Linked DNA regions of Oryzias latipes. The protein of the gene in region 1 purifies or fractionates together with the protein of each later gene. This does not show direct contact. Links are inferred from orthologs where the notes say so. Each region holds a gene or a part of one and is shown on either strand. Other genes may lie near its edges. The genes, in order: polr3f, polr3gl, polr3b and polr2f.

Region 1 (4,141 bases):
TTGGATGGTATGATTCAAATAAATTGGCTTAAGTCTTTTCTGCAAAATGGGAGAAATATTTGGTTTCATATTCCCTCAAACATCTTTTCTCATCTAGGGGGTATTGAGTTGCTTCTAAAATGTGATTTTGATTACAGAAAACTTCCTATTAAACTTTCTACTCATCATCAGCAGCTGTTACTGTATGGAAACTCCTCTACAAACATAACTGTAGTTCACACAATACTCCATATGGAACTGTTGGGATATTTTATGTAGGAACAAATCAATATTTTACAAACATTGGATTGATGACAGTATTTGGTCATTAATACATATTATGAATGACAATGGAAACATTATCTCATTTGAAACTTTTTCCAGTAAATTTAAATTAAATGATAGAAAATAATATAATAATGTGATCAAAGCCTCAGACTTTGGTCCAAATGTCCTCCAGTCTGGTTCATGATGATCAAGTTCAGCTTCCCTCTCTGTTGTTTGATGGTCGACCGGTTAATTCAAAACTTCCAAACTCATTTATACGATCTTTATTTGTTAGAGCCGTCCTGTTTCCAACATTAGACATAAATCATTCTATGTCACAGCTTTACACAAGAGAGGAAATAAGCAAGTTGAGGTCTCAGTTCATTAAATATCCAATTTTCCCAAAATACAAAGAAATCCATTTTAAAATAATGAATGCAGTCTATCCATGCAAAGAACTGTTACACATACGTTTAGGTTTTCCAGAGAATAACTGTTCTTTTTGTGATATAAATATTGAAACACTTGATCATTTGTTTTTTGAATGTATGTATGTTTACAGTTTTTGGGAGGATTTCTTTTTTTGGTGCTCTTCAAAGTTTCCCTTTCCTATTTCTATTCACTTACAAAAGCACATTATATTATTTGGAGTAGTTTCTGGTGATAATCTATTTGATTTGACATTCAATACCTTATTAATATCTGGGAAATTTTTCATTCACAAGTGCAGATTTGTAAAAACGAAACCATTATTTAATACATTTCTTAAAGAAATCAGTTTATATTTTAAATCTCTGACATTGATGAAAAACAAAAATGCAATAAAACTGTGTGTTTTCATTGAAGATCACATGCTGTATGACAATCCCTAGTGTTGTAAACTATAATTCTATATATTTTGTTTTATTTATTTACTTATTTTCTTTTTCTCTCTTTTTTGTATGTTGTTATTATGTGTATGTTTAAAGTTCAAATAAACAAAATTAAAAAAAAACAAAAAAAAACGTGAACGGACATCACGTGCTCTGATGACGTCACACAGGACCGAGCCTCTCCCGCCGCTGGGGGGCGGTAACGCTCCGGTCTCCGTGGTTCCCCCAGAAGAAGAAGCGGCGTCACCGGCAGCAGCGGACCGGGGAGATGGCGGAGGTTCGGGTAAAGAAAGAGACGAACCTGGCGGAACCTGCAGAGGTGGAGACCAGGTTCGGACCTCACGATTCTGCCGCGTGCCGGTCCATGACCGAAGCGCGTGCATTTCATCTACGAGCAGCTCCTTGGCTTGTTTCATGCGCGCGTGTCTTAAGTTCAGAAACGGTTCTGGTTCCGGAGGCTACTCTAAACCGAACCTCAGCAGGCTTCTAAGACCGAAACCACTTTGTCTGGTTCCAGAGGTTCGAATCGGGAGACCGACTCAGCTCACGCTCAGGTGGTTTTAGAACCGAGTCCAGTTCTGAAGGTTTTAGATCTGAGTAAACCTCCGAAGACTTCAGAACCGAGTGCAGGTCTGAAGACATTAGACTCGAGTCACTCGGGTCTAATGTCTTCATAACTGGACTCGGACTCGAGTCCCGTGAGTTCAGGTCTAAAGACTAAAGGAACCGAGTCCATCCAGGTCTGAAGACTTCAGAACTGAGTCCCGGTATGAAGGTTTTAGATCCGAGTCCAGGTCTGAAGACTTTAGAACCGAGTTCAGTTCTGCAGACTTTAGAACCGAGTCCCGGTATGAAGGTTTTAGATCCGAGTCCTGGTTTGAAGGTCCAGGTCCGAGGACTATCGCTGCAGCTGTTGGATGTTCTGGATGTTGTTCAGAGAACACGCGGATGGGTCAGACGGATTCTAGAGTTCAGGCGGTCTTTGGACCATTTCTGAAGATCCAACGTGACGTTCTGAACGGACCAGAAACACTAGAACCTCCGTCTTGGAGAGGTCCATCTGAAGATGTTCCTTTTTGTTCCAACTGGAGATGAGACCCAAGCTGACACAGGGTTTATTATGGGATGTCTGATCTTTGGAGCGACTGGACCTTGTGGTTCTGATCCAGGAACTTCAGCTCTGAACGCCTGTGTGTCTCCAGGATCAGAGAGCTGTGTCAGCAGTTCCCTCAGGGAATCACAGACCAGGTGATCCAGAACGACATGCCTCACCTGGAGCCGCAGCAGAGGGCCCTGGCCATCAACAAGCTGCTGTCCCTGGTTAGTCCGGTTCTGAACAACCCAATCCATTCTTCAGCGCAGAGGGGTTCTAACGTAACCTGGTGTTTGTTCCAGGGCCAGCTGGACTTGCTCAGGAACAGTTCTGGTCTTCTGTACAGATTAAAAGATTCTCAGACAGCCAGGTGAGCAGCGTTCCATCTGCAGGTTCTGGTTCTGTCCACCGTGAACCCCAATCCTCTGTTTCAGTAAGATGAAGGGCTCGGACAACCAGGAGAAGCTGGTTTACCAGATCATCGAGGATGCCGGAAACAAAGGTGAGCTCTGTCTGCCTCCTTCCAGAAGGTACCGCGGGTCAGAACCTCCCAGATGTTCTGTTCGCAGGAATCTGGAGCAGAGACATCCGCTTCAAGAGCAACCTCCCTCTGACCGAGATCAACAAGATCCTGAAGAACCTGGAGAGCAAGAAGCTCATCAAAGCCGTCAAATCTGTGGCCGTGAGTTCAGAACCGAGCCGGTCCAGACGTGCTTGTGGCCGCCGGCAGTCCTGAACTCTGCTCGTCTGCCACGCAGGCGTCCAAGAAGAAGGTCTACATGCTGTACAACGTGCAGCCGGACCGCTCCGTCACCGGAGGGGCCTGGTACAGCGACCAGGACTTTGAGTCCGAGTTCGTGGAGGTTCTGAACCAGCAGTGCTTCAAGTTCCTGCAGAGCAAGGTATGGAGAACCCAAATGTACGGAACACCAAACCAATGGGTCACAAAGGTCAGAGGTCAGCTGTAGAGCTACGTTTACACCGGGAAACGCGTTCAAGGGACCGCTTTGAGTCCAAAGTCTACGGGAACGCGTCTACGCTTCCGCCTCCAAACTCTACAAAAAGCGCCGCCATTGAACGTGAAACCAGTTGAACTTTGACCAATCAGGGACTCTGAGTTGGTTGCGACGTATGATGGCGTCAAAGCAGAAGTACCAACGACTGAAACTTGATCAGAAAGGACAAAGTAATAACTGCGGTTTGTGTCGACGCCAAGTCTATGATGGATCAGAATCGAGCTGTGAACAAAAGACTCACCAGATTTGGACGTTTCCCACCGAGTCGTCCAACCGCAGGAGACGGCGCCGGGTAGCCACAGTCCAGAATGAACGCCGTAGGCGAGCAAAGGTTCTGTGGTCTTCAACGCGCATCACGTGTGTGAACGTAGCACCAGGCTGAGGGGCCCACCCCTCACCCCCACTCACCCCTGTGTGCAGGCGGAGGCGGCGCGGGGCGGCCAGCAGAGCCCCATGGTTCAGAGGAACAGCTCCTTCGCCACGTCTCACGAAGTCTGGAAGTACATCAGCGAGTTGGGCATCAGCAAGGTGGCCCCGCCGTGACCTCACAGCCCCTCCCAACAGCTGCAGCTGTTCTCACAGGTGTCCCGTGTGCAGGTGGACCTGTCCATGGACGACATCGAGACCATCCTGAACACGCTGATCTACGACGGGAAGGTGGAGATGACCGTGATCGCCGCCAAGGAGGGGACGGTGGGCAGCGTGGACGGACAGATGAAGCTGTACCGCGGCGTGAACGCCGTGCTGCCGCCGGCGGGCCTGGTGAAGACGCCCTGCGGCCTGTGCCCGGTAAGCCGCGCTCCGACGCCCCCTGCTGCCGCTCCGGCTGCGGCACTCACCCCCCCCCCCCCCCCAATCTCTCTGCAGGTGTTTGACGACTGTCACGAAGGGGGGGAGATCTCGCCATCCACCTG
Region 2 (4,145 bases), on another chromosome or scaffold:
GCTGACGTCACCTCCTGGAAGCAGAAGCTCCAGCGCCAACAGTAGGTGGGACGTCGGCCCCCCCTGGTGGTGAAGTATGGTACGGCCCGAAAGGATCAAACGTCAGACTGTTGGCTGCAGGTCGACACACGAGGTCACGTGACCGTCTGTTTATTGGAGCAGCAGGTGACACCAGGTTGGACTGCCTCTTCAGTCACACGCGTGCACGTGGCGTGCACGTGCAGCAGCTGCTCAGTAAATGGCCTCGTCCATGTTGTCGTCGCTGTCGCCGCCGAATTCCTCGCCGTTGTCGAAGTACGACATGATGTAGTCGGTTTCCTGCACAGAGGGTCCAGTTAGACCTGCAGAGCCTCCGTGGTTCTGACCCAGGCCTGCTGACCACGTACCTCCTCCAGTTCTTCCTCATCATACTCCTCCTCTGCCTCTGCTCCCTCCTCCTCCTCCGGCTTCTTCTTCACCCCTCCCTCCTCCTCCTCTGAGCTCTGCTCATGCTCCTCCTTCTTCTCCAGGGTCTGCAGACACTTCCATTAAAGCCATCATCATCATCATCATCATCATCATCAGAGGTTCTATAGAAACCCTTCACCTCCAGTTTGAGCAGCACCTCCTCTTCCTCCTTCTTCTTCTTCTTCTTCTGGACTGGCACAGAACTATCCATGGTGCTGAAGGCCAGACCTGAGGGAGACAGCAGCTGATGCTCACCCCCCTGAGTAATCTGATTACTGCTGATGAATACTGTTCAGACGAGTCAGTAAGGTACCCAGAGTACTGAGTAATGGGATTACTCGCCTTCTCTGACTCTCCTCCTGATGTGGACCTGCAGCTCTCTGGGGAATCGTCTCCAGTCTGAAATCCAGAGACGTGCAGACATGAAGGTTCTGATGGCGTTTTCATTGGATGTTACCGTGGTAACGGCGTCTCACCCAGGTTCCAGTCCGTGAGGCTGTTCGTCTGCTCGCTGCTGTGATATTTGTCCGAGTAGCGCTGAACATCTGCACAGGAAGAAAGCAGGACTTTCAAAATAAGACTGCGTGTGTGTGTGCGCGCGTGTGTGTGTGCACGTGTGTGACCTCGCTGTGCTGCTGCTGGCTTGATGAAGAATGGCAGATTCTTCATCACTCCTCTAAAATCCTGCTTCAGGGCCAATAGATACTCTGCTTCTTCTCCACCTGCCAGGGGGAGGGGCTTCTGCTCCATCACCTGGACACCAAATCCACCAACTTCAAATCCCAGAATTCAGTGCTTCAAAATCAGCGCATTACCCCAACTGTTGGTGTCAGAGCAGAAAAATGTCAGAGCTCCTCTTTCCTGCATCTGTTGTTTGTTACGGTTCACGTCGAGACGATAAATGTCTGCCTAACGTAGACGTCAGTGACATCCCATAATAACCCACAAGGTTCAGAATGACATGAACAGCTTTAACAAACAATGAAAACAACAACAGAGGGATTTCATTCAACCAAAAAGAATAACACTTAAATATAAATGAGGGGTTTTCCTGGTGTGGGCGGGGCTTACAGGAAACACAGGCGTGGGCTGCTGAAGTCCTGGGGGGAGACCTTCTCCCCTGCTGATGCTCGAGTCCGTGCCGAAAGGCCTACGGCCCCGCCCTCGTCCCGCCATGGCTGGTCCCCCTCAGACAAAACCGGACCGAGCCAGAACCGCCCTAAAGACACAACAGGACCCCACTGTAAATCAGGATACGTCCACGGGGTAAGCCCCGCCCCTGTCACACAGCCCAATGACCACTCCCCCTTTTCAGGTCAGAGGGAAGCGCATCAAGGCCTTTCAGGTGTGTTTGATCGTTTTCGGTTGTTCCTTCCATCCCCTCAGAACCTGATGTCATGTAGCGTCTGTTCCAGCAGGTGGCAGTATACAGGCATTTCCAGAGGAAAAAACGGGAATAAACCAGTGACTGCATGTGGGAACTGGACCGAGTGGCCCCGCCCCCTAGCGTTCCAAACAGGAAAATCCCGTAGACATCTACAAACGGCTGTTCCTCAGTCGTTCTATGGGTCAGAGGAACCGCTCTGGATCTGATTCTTTAGAACCTCTTCCTGATAATCCTCATTTTTCATTTCATTTCTGTAGTTCAAGGTATAAACTGACCAATCAGACGCCTCAATGAAAGTGGGTGGAGCCTGCTGACCCTAACCCCAAGTTTGACTGATTTCTGTAACCTGCTTTCAAGTGGGTGTGGCCTTTCAACAAGCTCACTCCTGGTTGGTCAGTGTGGTTGCTATAGAAACGATGACTCAGACCAACTCGGACCAATCACTGGCGGCGGCGTTAAAACGGCGACTGAATTCTGCATTGACTAGATATGGACTAGGAATCGGATCCGTCTCGACAGGGAACCATTCCAGCCCTGATGACGTATGTGATGATGTCACTGACGACACTGCAGCATGTGGGGCCTAAGAACCCACGTTTGAACCCCTGCTTCCTGATGACGTCACGCCTCTCTGGTCGCTGTGGTTCTGAGCTGCTTTCAGAGAAACGAGGAAAATGTTTTGGTTTTTGATTCAGGGGCTTCGGCTGACGTCATCAGCCTCATCGATCAGGCTGATCGTGAAGCTCCATCAGAACCCTGCGGGCTCCCTTCTGACCTGGGCTCGCGCTCGGTCGGGTATGACTCCTCTGACCTGTTCCCGCTTTTCCGTTACGGCTGCAGCTTAGTGCGCGCTCCCGCGGCGCGCTCCATGTTCGGTTCAGACTTTCACAAACTCCACCACGAACGGTTGTTTACCGTCCCCGGACCTCGCTTTACAGGCGCCCCGCCTACTACCCACCGGAAATGTCCTACGGCAGTTTGCGCGCGCTTGCATTCTGCGTTGGGCCGCGCGTTTCTGCCCCCTATCGGACAGGAGGACAGAAATCCAGCTACATTTATGGTCGATAGCAGTGGCGGTTCTACCCTGAATTACTCCCCGCGCGAGACCCCCCCGCCCCCCCCCCCATAGAGTCACTCTGTCCATGTCAACTGACATGTTTTATTGGAGCAGAAGTAGCAGCAGAACAGCAGCAGCAGAACAGCAGCAGCATGCTACCATCACAGCTCATTTAACATTTATGAACTAAGTTTACAACAGCCTTTGGCTGTGTGTGGGGCCATAACCATAACCATAACCATAACCATAGCTGGATCGCAGGCAGTGTTTGGCCGCTCATGCGACTCCTGTGGAGAGTCCTCCTGAGCTGGGGGGCAGGTGCCGCTGTTTCTTTTGTTTCCCATCGTTTGTTTGCATTTCTGCTCTATCCAACCCGCTGACCCCTTGGTGCACCGTTGTCCAGGAGCGGTGCCACGGCCGGGATTTCCGGGGATCGTGTGTGCTCTGTACACCGTTTCAGCGAGTGCCGTCCATCCACGCACTGGGGAGCGGCGTGATGAAGCCGGATCGAGAGCTATCGGAGCGGGTTCCCCCTTCCGGCCTTCTGTGGCCCCGGGCACAACCAGAGCCCAGTGTCCCACCACCCTGGACTGGCGTCGGTTACTGCCACTGTACGCAAGGGGCGTGGCATTGAGCCTGTTGTGCCGCAACAGAGCGCACGGCTGGGTGCAGCTGACTGTGTGGGCTGGGCATGATGGCCCTTGTGGTTTGGTTAACTCTTTTGGGTGTCTTTCAGAATAGGAATTTTAATACTATTTGTAATAAAGGGTGTCTATTTTCTTAAAAGCACAGTCTTGGTTTCCTGTCGGAGAGTCCTGTGCTCTTCATTTTAAGTCTTCTACTGGAGGCATCCAAGGGGAAACCATACTGCCACAGGAATCTTGGTGCTGTGAGCAGAAATTGACGTCAGCGCCAGTTTTGGCCTGTGCTGACTTCACACTACCCTTTATTCTGGAAGTAGATGCCAGCCACAATGGCCTTGGTGCAGTTTTGTCCCAGGAGCAGGGTGGCAGTGTGCGGCCATTGCCATGCCAGTAGGGGGCTAAAAGCTACAGAGCGTAACATGCAGAACTGCAGCTCTATGAAGCTGGAGTTCTTGGCTCTTAAATGGGCCATGATGATTATGAGATAAAGTATCGTTCTGGCAGAATGTGGACGCCCTGTCACGACATCCCAATCGTAGTTCAGCAGGGGTCGGCGACATGGCACCCGGTACTTCACAAAGAAATGACCGAAAGAAAGATGGCCGACAGG
Region 3 (3,561 bases), on another chromosome or scaffold:
TGAGGGCCAGTGGGCACCATGTGTTTGAGGCATCTGTTTGGCCGGTCTATAACTTGAATAACTTGCGATGAAAAAAAGAATATCATGGGGGGGAAAATAGAATTAACTAGAACATGTAAAAGATCAAGAATGCTTATTCTGACTAACAGAATGTCTGAGTAATAGCTGTTTTTTTCTCTATAGAAGTCTATGGGATTTTGGCTTCTACTTCCTGTTTGGAATGTAAGGGGGAGGGGTTACTCAGTCTGGTTCTCCTATACAGGCAATGGTCTGAATGAAATATAGTGCCCCTTGGTGGAGAGGGGGATTGGACATCACTGTGAGTAATCAGGAGATGTCCTCTCAGTGCCCTACCCGCCAATTTTAACTGCACCCCCTTAGAACACATCTGTCCAAGGTCCCACCCTACCCCATCCCTGGTAGGGGGTACCAGGTACCAGAGGGGCGGTTGTTCTCTATCTGCTGCCATGCGGGTGTTGGGGGGGTTCTGGCTGCCGCGGCTGCTGCGGCGGGGGTCTTGGTGTGGGGATGGCACTCTCCTTCCTTCTTTTTACATTCCATCATTCATTTTAGAAGAACATAAACACTCACTGGAGCACAGGTATTAGCTCACTTAGTTTGCGTGACTGAATTAAATATTTCACACTAGTTGGTTTGAATGCATAAGTATGCGTGTGTGAACATTATCTGTATTGTGTACATGTTGACATGTGAACATTATTTTGGAGCCAACAGGTGTGTTTATAACATTTGAGTGTGTGTGTGGACAGGCCCCGCCCTTATAGACCTGTATTACATGTGAACCTCACCGTAATGATTACAACCATCCAGAAACTTGTTGCTTTATGCTGCTTCATGGTCTCCCCCCGCTTCTATAATCACCCCCCCCCCCCCCCCCATAACATCCCTCTCTCTTCTTCCCTCCTTTCCTTTTTCCGTCTGGTCCAACACAAAAGATTTCAATGATTAAAATGGATAAAGTTTGGTCTCGATTACAAAAGAGGTTATTCAGACATACCTCTGGTTTGTCTAAAACCCCTATTGTTAAAGTAAAATAAATCCAACACAAGAGGCCTTCAGCTCTCATCCGTTTGCCCAGCAGGACAAATTAAAAAAATAAATAAAAATAAAAATAGTGGAGCTCTGATGATGTTAGTGTTGTAGATCCAACGTGAGTCTGAGGTAACCTCAGGTTTGTGAGTCAGATTTTAGCCTCATCTGGTTCGGATCTGATGTACCTGAGTCTGCGTGAAGATCTGGGCTTTCTGACACTCCTCCAGGCTTGGGGCGAAGTTGGCCATGACGTGCTCCTCTGTGCCAATCATCTGCACAATCTCCTGGTCACTCTCTACACCCATACCCTAACCATGCAAACAGACAGCAGAGTGTGAGCAGGGAGACACAGATTGGTAGAATTTGGGTCACTACATAAAAATCTACGCAAATTTACACAGAGCAGAAGAGTGGACACACCCTGAGGAGCATGGAAGTCAAATGTGTTGACAAAGAGGGAGAAGTGAACTGCAGAAACTAAAGCGATCTGACATTTGCTTATGTAAATGTGAAGCTGTGGGAACTGATGGGTCTGCCCCACTGTGGATTCATGCTCGCAACCAAAGAGAAGGAGAGGTGAGAGAAAGTCACAGAAATGAAGCTGCAGATGTTTAACTCTGAGCAAAGAACGATGTGAGAAAGAAATCTGTTATACTACAACTTTTCTTCATTCTAGAGTGAGTCTTTCAATATTATGCATCTTTGTATTGCAAAGGACAAGAATATTCCGATGCTCTTCTGTCGTCCTCTATTTGGGTTATAGCTCCCCCTGCTGTGCATTAGGAGTCCCTAAACCAGGGGGCCTGCAACCTTGATACTAAAAGAGCCATTTGGTCCAGTTTCTTACTGACCAAAACCCCATGAGAGCTGCAGAGTTCCACCTCACCAAATAGAATATACTTTTTCTATTTGTGTGGCCATTTAGCTGGTAATTTATAAAAATGTAGCTTTGAAATATTTACAATAAGCAGCAAAAGAACACCTCGGCTTAAACACCTTAACATAAATGACAAAACTTAACTAACAAACCTATTGTTTTTTAATTTCTTTTTAAGTCAAAAATTCGCAATGGAGGGATAAAGAACCCCATGTGGCTCCGGAGCCTCAGGTGGTAGCCCCCAACCCTGAACAGTTTCTGAAAACTACCTTAAAGATGATGGCGATGGGAGCGTCCTCAGACAGCGTGTTATGCCTCAGGTAGAAGCGTCCTTGCTTCACAATTATATTAGTTCTACTTTTCTTTTCGTGAGTGGAGCTGTGAAATGAAAAAAAAAACAACACATTTTTCAAAGGGCTTGCATAGCATTTGCCTGAAATTATATCAAAACAAGGAAAAAAATTACTTATGTTTTTGCATTCAATAGATGAAAAAATTAAGGTAATTTTAGAGCCAATGTGGTTTGACGCATATTTGCATCAATCAGCATCAAGAGGTTAAGACCAGATCTGTCTGTCTGTCCTGCAGTTAAAACACTAAAACTGCCCTATACACTATTCTGCATTAACATTTAAAAACTGTATGTTCAACAAACCAAAGGGGAGTCAAATAAAGCAAACTGCCAAACCCTAAAGAATAAATGTTTTTTAAATTATTTATACCCAGATTTTATTCATTTAAAACGCACAAAAAAACATTGATCACGTGAAACGTGAAAACATGTATTGTTTGCCAGGCTACAGCAAAGTCAACTCTTTTCCACCATGAATGTTGATGTTCTTCAATCACAGGAAGTGATCATTACATTTAATAACAGAAAATATAAAATAAGGCTAGATCATTTGTCTTCAATATGAAGGAGTTTTGATGACTAAGATTGATTATGTACTCAGCCCAAGTTATTATTTGCCAGTCCTAAACTTTGACAAATGTCAGTTGAAAGGCATTAAAGGCTGCTTAATGTTTCTTTATTTCTCCATAGAACTTGTATTGGTTGCACAAAACTGAGAAAACGTTGAAGTTCAGGCTGTAAACGTCAAAATGTATCCACTTTTTTAAAACCCAAGCTAAAAATTGAGATTCCTTTAAGTCTGGTTGATGCCTAAAGGACGTACCTGGTAACTGAAGCTCCAACTGTCCCCTTCCTGTCTTGGTCCACGATGATCCGATTCTTCGACAGCTGCTCCTGGATCAGGATGACTTTCTCTTGACCTTTAACGATGAAGTAACCTCCTGTGAAAACAGAATAATGAACTGACGGGGTTGTGATGAACTGCTGTTGCTAGGTTATGCGCAGGTTATCAATTTGTAGGGTTTCAGGGGAGGGGGGGGGTGTTTTTGCAGAGAACCTGGGTCCAGAGGACACTCATTTAGTTTAGAAAACTCCATGGGCGTCTTCCCTGTGAGAACACAGTTGGAGCTTCGCAGCATGATCGGCATCCTGGCATAAAAAATAGAATAAGAAAAAGGCTAAAGCAGACTTTTTCATTGCGTGGCAACTTTCATTAAAGTTATGATCAAAAAAAGAAAAAGGAGGACAAATCTCTGCAAAATGAAGCTTTCAGTAGGTT
Region 4 (4,289 bases), on another chromosome or scaffold:
TCTTCGGGCAGAAAACTCAAGAACAAGCCCTTCTCCCCTGAGCACTGGTTTTTCCTCCAGCGCCGCGCGTCTCTCTGCCAGGGCAAACACTCCCTTTGAACAATGCCGACCTGTTGAGCTGCTTCATTCACATGGTTCCGTGGATAAACTCAGAGAGAGCCTCCGTCTGTTTTCTGACGGCTTCACCAAATCCACAAGGGCTGTAGCCTCAAGGAAAATAAAGACCCGCTGACATCAAAGCTGCATCAATCAAACACCACATGATTCTTGAAGTTTAATCAACTGATTTGGTTCTTTTTTTAAATGACCAAAACTGACCATTTTTTCCCTGACTATGACTCATGCTGACATTAAAACTTTAATAATAACAGTCAGAAACCGTGAAATTATCATAAAAAAAGACTTTATTTATAACAATAAAACAGATGATCTCTGATCAAAATCAACACTTGGAATACTTACAACAAAAGTTCAGTTTGTTAAAAAAATGTGTTTAAACAAAGTTATGTCTCCCCCTACTGGCTCATGCTTGCAAAGCAGGTTTTAAAATGACTGCATTTGCTGCTTCTGTTTGGTATCATCGAAGCTCTGAAGTTCAGCTGAAAGTCCAGGTTTGTTTAGTCGGTAATGATGAGCTCATCACAGCCCCAGTCCTCGTAGCTGCCGTCGGGGAGGTACCTGCGGATGATGATGGGGATCTTTCTGCTCCTGTTCAGAACAAACGGCAAACATTGAGTTACCAGGAACAAAACAAGATGAAAGAATTTAGACAGAAATGGAATAATCTGATGTACTTTAGTTCCTTCATGGCGATCTGCAAGGGGTCTGTTTCTCCCTCCAACTCGACCATCACAGGAGCGCACATGCTGTCGGCAGAACAACGACAAAATCCTCAAAATAAATCCCAAATTGAAGTAAAATGTCATTATTTTAAAGCCAGAAAACAGGCGGGGCAGAGGATTCATGGACTGTTCATTCACACACACACTTTTCAAACCAGTGTGTCCTTAAACGGCCCAAACACAAAAACACAGAGATGTCAACAACCAGGTTCAAACCCAGAACCTGCCTTCAAAGCTGCAAAACTGAGAAATGTAATTCAGTGTCATTTTGACAAAATGAGATGCAAAGATTTTTTTGTTTGTCCCTGAAACACGTGATCTGCAGCAACCAGTTGGGACCTCGTGATGGGCCCATAGCACAGCTGGGGGGCTTTTCTCTAGCTGGGCCAGGGCGTGCATTCTCCATGCTCCTGTGACTCCTTGCTCTTTGGTGCTGGGGACTATTTCGGCAGTCCCTCCTCTGGTATGGATGGCTGGTATCGGGTCACTGGGGTGGTGGATTCCCTCCTGGCTGTGGTGGTCCTGGCTGCCGCTACTGCCTCACCTCATTCTGGGGGGCTTGGTGTGGGACGACCAGGTGCTCCCCCCCTTTTTTTTATTCATTACGCTTCATACCATCATTGTCCACAGTAGAACACAGACAAAAAAACTAAGCACCAATGCCCACTCACCTTGGCTCAGAAAAGGACTTTTGTATGAGATTGTATCTGCTTTTATGCAAATGAAGGTGCATATTTATCTGATCTCTATCTGTGTTGTGTACATGACAATATGCAAGAGTGAAGGTTTTTGAGGGCAACAGGAATGTTTATAATATTCAGTGTGTGCGATAAACATAAACATCTAATTGTGAAAGTTATAAATAACCTCTAGCAACGTTTTGTCTCTTTTTGTTTGCAATGGTGTGTTTCTTTGGTGACTCTCCAACTTCTATATGTCCTTTTCTATCTTGTCCCCCCCATCCCTAATATCCCACTATCCTTCTCCGTTTTCTCCGGTCCAAAAAGGAATGGACACAAGTCCATCATTTTTCTAAAACCGGCCTATTGTAGATCAGGGTCTGAAGGAGCCTATCCTAGCTGTTTTGGGGCAAAGATGGGGTACATGCAGCATAGTTCAATAAGCACAAATATTAATAAAATAAAGTTAAGCCTCAATACAAAAAGGTTTGTAGTGACATAAACCTCCTCTGCCCAAAGCTTCAAAACTCCTATGGTAACATTACAATCTGTCCAACACCAGGGGCCTTCAGCTCTCATCTGTTTGATCAGCTGCTCCACACGACAAATTAGCAAAATAAAATAAGAAGAACAACAAAGCCACAAATGTTTGGAAGCCTAACTTATTGGTTTAGAAGAGTAAAGCGCTTATTTTACAGTAAACAACTCACGCTATTTGGAGGGCTCGTGTTCCCAGCACTCTCGCTCTCTCATATTTGGTCATGTGCGGTGTTGTAATCCTTTTCTGGTTAGCCTGCTGCCCCTCTCCTGCGGGGAGGATCTGTACGTTCTCCTGGTCCTCCTGATGATCATCCAAGGAAAACAAGCATCTGATTAGACTGCCAGATAGAAATCATGAATAATGAACCCCAAATATGATCCACTAAATGAAAAAAGTGCAGACGAACATACATCTTCCACGTTTTCCAGATCGTCTAATCCTTCGTCCTCATCGGCGTCCTCAAAGTCTCCATCATCAAAGCTGCAAATGTTGACAAAAACTGTATCAAAGACCGAAAACGGTGAAGTCGTAACCTAGCTTAGCTAACAGGCTACACGCTAAAATAGATTTAAAATTAACATATACCATGACATTATTTGATGAACATAGATCACAACTTACTTGTCTTCGTTATCAGACATGTTTTAACTTATATTTTTTCCAATATAGATACTAATAGAGTTTATTAGCAGCAAATTTAATTTAGAGGCTAAACCACATTGAGCGTTGTGGTCTCTAAACTTCCGGTGCGCGTGTACGCTGAAAAATTATGTCCGGCTTCTCAACTAGAATTTCTTTTTTTGTCCTACCTTTTTCTAATTCAATTTAAAAACAAGCAAACAAATAGTATATAAAAAGCTTACTTTCTATTATAGTCAAGTATCCTAAACAAAATAAACTTCAACTAGAAATAAATATAAATCCATCAAACTATGGAAAACCAAGGCTGTACCTTTAGAGAAAAAGAAGACACCAAAATGATAGTTTTCAACATTTATTTTAATGTACCCTTGAGAGAAAATGAATACTAATAATTCTTAATTTTTTGCCCTGCATTTATAGAAAACGAGTAACAATGGCATGTCACTTAGTGCAAAGTTAAAGAACAGAATTGGGTCAACCGAATGCGAAAAAACATTCAGAGCTAAGGCTGGATTCTGTTTTTTTTACTCTTCATCTAATATATTTTCCTACGTGATCAAATGAAAAGATATTCACAATAAACAACATAAAAATGTTTTTGCAAGTGCTTTCCTGTCTTATGTAAGAATACTCATTGCAAGAAGTAGTCTATTTAAGTGTACTACAAGTATACTTATAAATGTGAGGCAGTATACTTGACGTTTATTTTTTTAAAATATAATGTCAAGATAAAATCTAGATATTGTAAACTTAAAATTTCCAATTTCCAGTCTCAAGAAATATTCTGTTAGTATACTTCATCTCTACACTACATGAACATGGTCTTTAGTACAGCGTACTTGCTTTATACTTATATTCAAGCAAACTTAAAAAAATAAAAGCGTCAACTTTTTGCTAGGGTTAAGCTCAAACAGCTGGCACTTTGTCAAAGAACAGATCCATTTAGATTCTTCACTTATTTAATAAAATGTGTCTATACAAAAGAGATTTCTTTTAAAACAATTCTTCATTACCTATTTTATAAATATAGCAGTGGATGGGTAAGAATTTCTAAACACAAAAAGGAAGAAATGTTCACGTTTTTAACAACAAAATTAATCCTGTTTGTTGGTTACACATAAACTTTTTTTTTTCAAATATAGCCCAACTATGAAATATGCAATTGATTCTTTGTTAATTTAGTAAACAACAAGTTGCAATAATTTACAATAAAAGTGAACATTTGACAGGAGATTCTTGTCACAACCTTTTAAAAAAATGTCACTTGTAAAATTGCTCTCTTTCACAGTTTTCTATACATTTTCTGATGAACCCCTTTAACCAAATTACTAAAAAAAACTAAAAAGTAAATATAGCAAAAGATAGTGCAGGAATCTGCATGGCTGATTTTGTCTCAGAAGAAATCTGTAGGACAACAACTTTAAGCATTTTCTAGTGATGCAGGTTTGGAAAAATATTTTTCTTAAAACAGGGTTTTAAAAAAGTGGTAAAAAAATAACATCAGTAGGAATTGGTTTCTATTTCAAAGTACTCCGTTTTTCTCTTGCTGGACTTTGTAAACAATTTGAACAGAATGTGCCAAAC

The links.
Region 2: the proteins of polr3f (region 1) and polr3gl purify together in Homo sapiens (co-immunoprecipitation; 5 studies listed by BioGRID and IntAct, counting the BioPlex papers as one, with this or other methods). This does not show direct contact. The link is inferred for Oryzias latipes from reciprocal best matches to the Homo sapiens genes POLR3F and POLR3GL.
Region 3: the proteins of polr3f (region 1) and polr3b fractionate together in Homo sapiens (co-fractionation; 4 studies listed by BioGRID and IntAct, with this or other methods). This does not show direct contact. The link is inferred for Oryzias latipes from reciprocal best matches to the Homo sapiens genes POLR3F and POLR3B.
Region 4: the proteins of polr3f (region 1) and polr2f purify together in Homo sapiens (affinity purification with mass spectrometry; 4 studies listed by BioGRID and IntAct, with this or other methods). This does not show direct contact. The link is inferred for Oryzias latipes from reciprocal best matches to the Homo sapiens genes POLR3F and POLR2F.

What each region holds. Positions count from the first base shown.
Region 1 is NC_019859.2:414,586-418,726, reverse strand, and holds the start of polr3f (DNA-directed RNA polymerase III subunit RPC6), read left to right. Parts: upstream 1-1,289; 5' UTR 1,290-1,386; coding exon 1,387-1,448; intron 1,449-2,320; coding exon 2,321-2,438; intron 2,439-2,513; coding exon 2,514-2,581; intron 2,582-2,645; coding exon 2,646-2,713; intron 2,714-2,780; coding exon 2,781-2,893; intron 2,894-2,969; coding exon 2,970-3,113; intron 3,114-3,647; coding exon 3,648-3,755; intron 3,756-3,824; coding exon 3,825-4,016; intron 4,017-4,094; coding exon 4,095-4,141. UniProt on the Homo sapiens protein: DNA-dependent RNA polymerase catalyzes the transcription of DNA into RNA using the four ribonucleoside triphosphates as substrates.
Region 2 is NC_019874.2:32,576,089-32,580,233, forward strand, and holds the start of polr3gl (DNA-directed RNA polymerase III subunit RPC7-like), read right to left. Parts: upstream 2,805-4,145; 5' UTR 2,646-2,804; exon of another isoform or gene 2,610-2,645; intron 1,667-2,609; 5' UTR 1,624-1,666; coding exon 1,519-1,623; intron 1,268-1,518; exon of another isoform or gene 1,201-1,267; coding exon 1,071-1,200; intron 993-1,070; coding exon 924-992; intron 847-923; coding exon 790-846; intron 676-789; coding exon 587-675; intron 522-586; coding exon 387-521; intron 319-386; coding exon 232-318; 3' UTR 1-231. UniProt on the Homo sapiens protein: DNA-dependent RNA polymerase catalyzes the transcription of DNA into RNA using the four ribonucleoside triphosphates as substrates. Specific peripheric component of RNA polymerase III which synthesizes small RNAs, such as 5S rRNA and tRNAs.
Region 3 is NC_019864.2:21,473,511-21,477,071, reverse strand, and holds part of polr3b (DNA-directed RNA polymerase III subunit RPC2), read right to left. Parts: intron 3,432-3,561; coding exon 3,340-3,431; intron 3,224-3,339; coding exon 3,106-3,223; intron 2,309-3,105; coding exon 2,200-2,308; intron 1,362-2,199; coding exon 1,239-1,361; intron 1-1,238. UniProt on the Homo sapiens protein: Catalytic core component of RNA polymerase III (Pol III), a DNA-dependent RNA polymerase which synthesizes small non-coding RNAs using the four ribonucleoside triphosphates as substrates.
Region 4 is NC_019866.2:19,813,475-19,817,763, reverse strand, and holds polr2f (DNA-directed RNA polymerases I, II, and III subunit RPABC2), read right to left. Parts: upstream 2,840-4,289; 5' UTR 2,705-2,839; coding exon 2,685-2,704; intron 2,544-2,684; coding exon 2,474-2,543; intron 2,364-2,473; coding exon 2,233-2,363; intron 867-2,232; coding exon 795-866; intron 709-794; coding exon 618-708; 3' UTR 387-617; downstream 1-386. UniProt on the Homo sapiens protein: DNA-dependent RNA polymerase catalyzes the transcription of DNA into RNA using the four ribonucleoside triphosphates as substrates.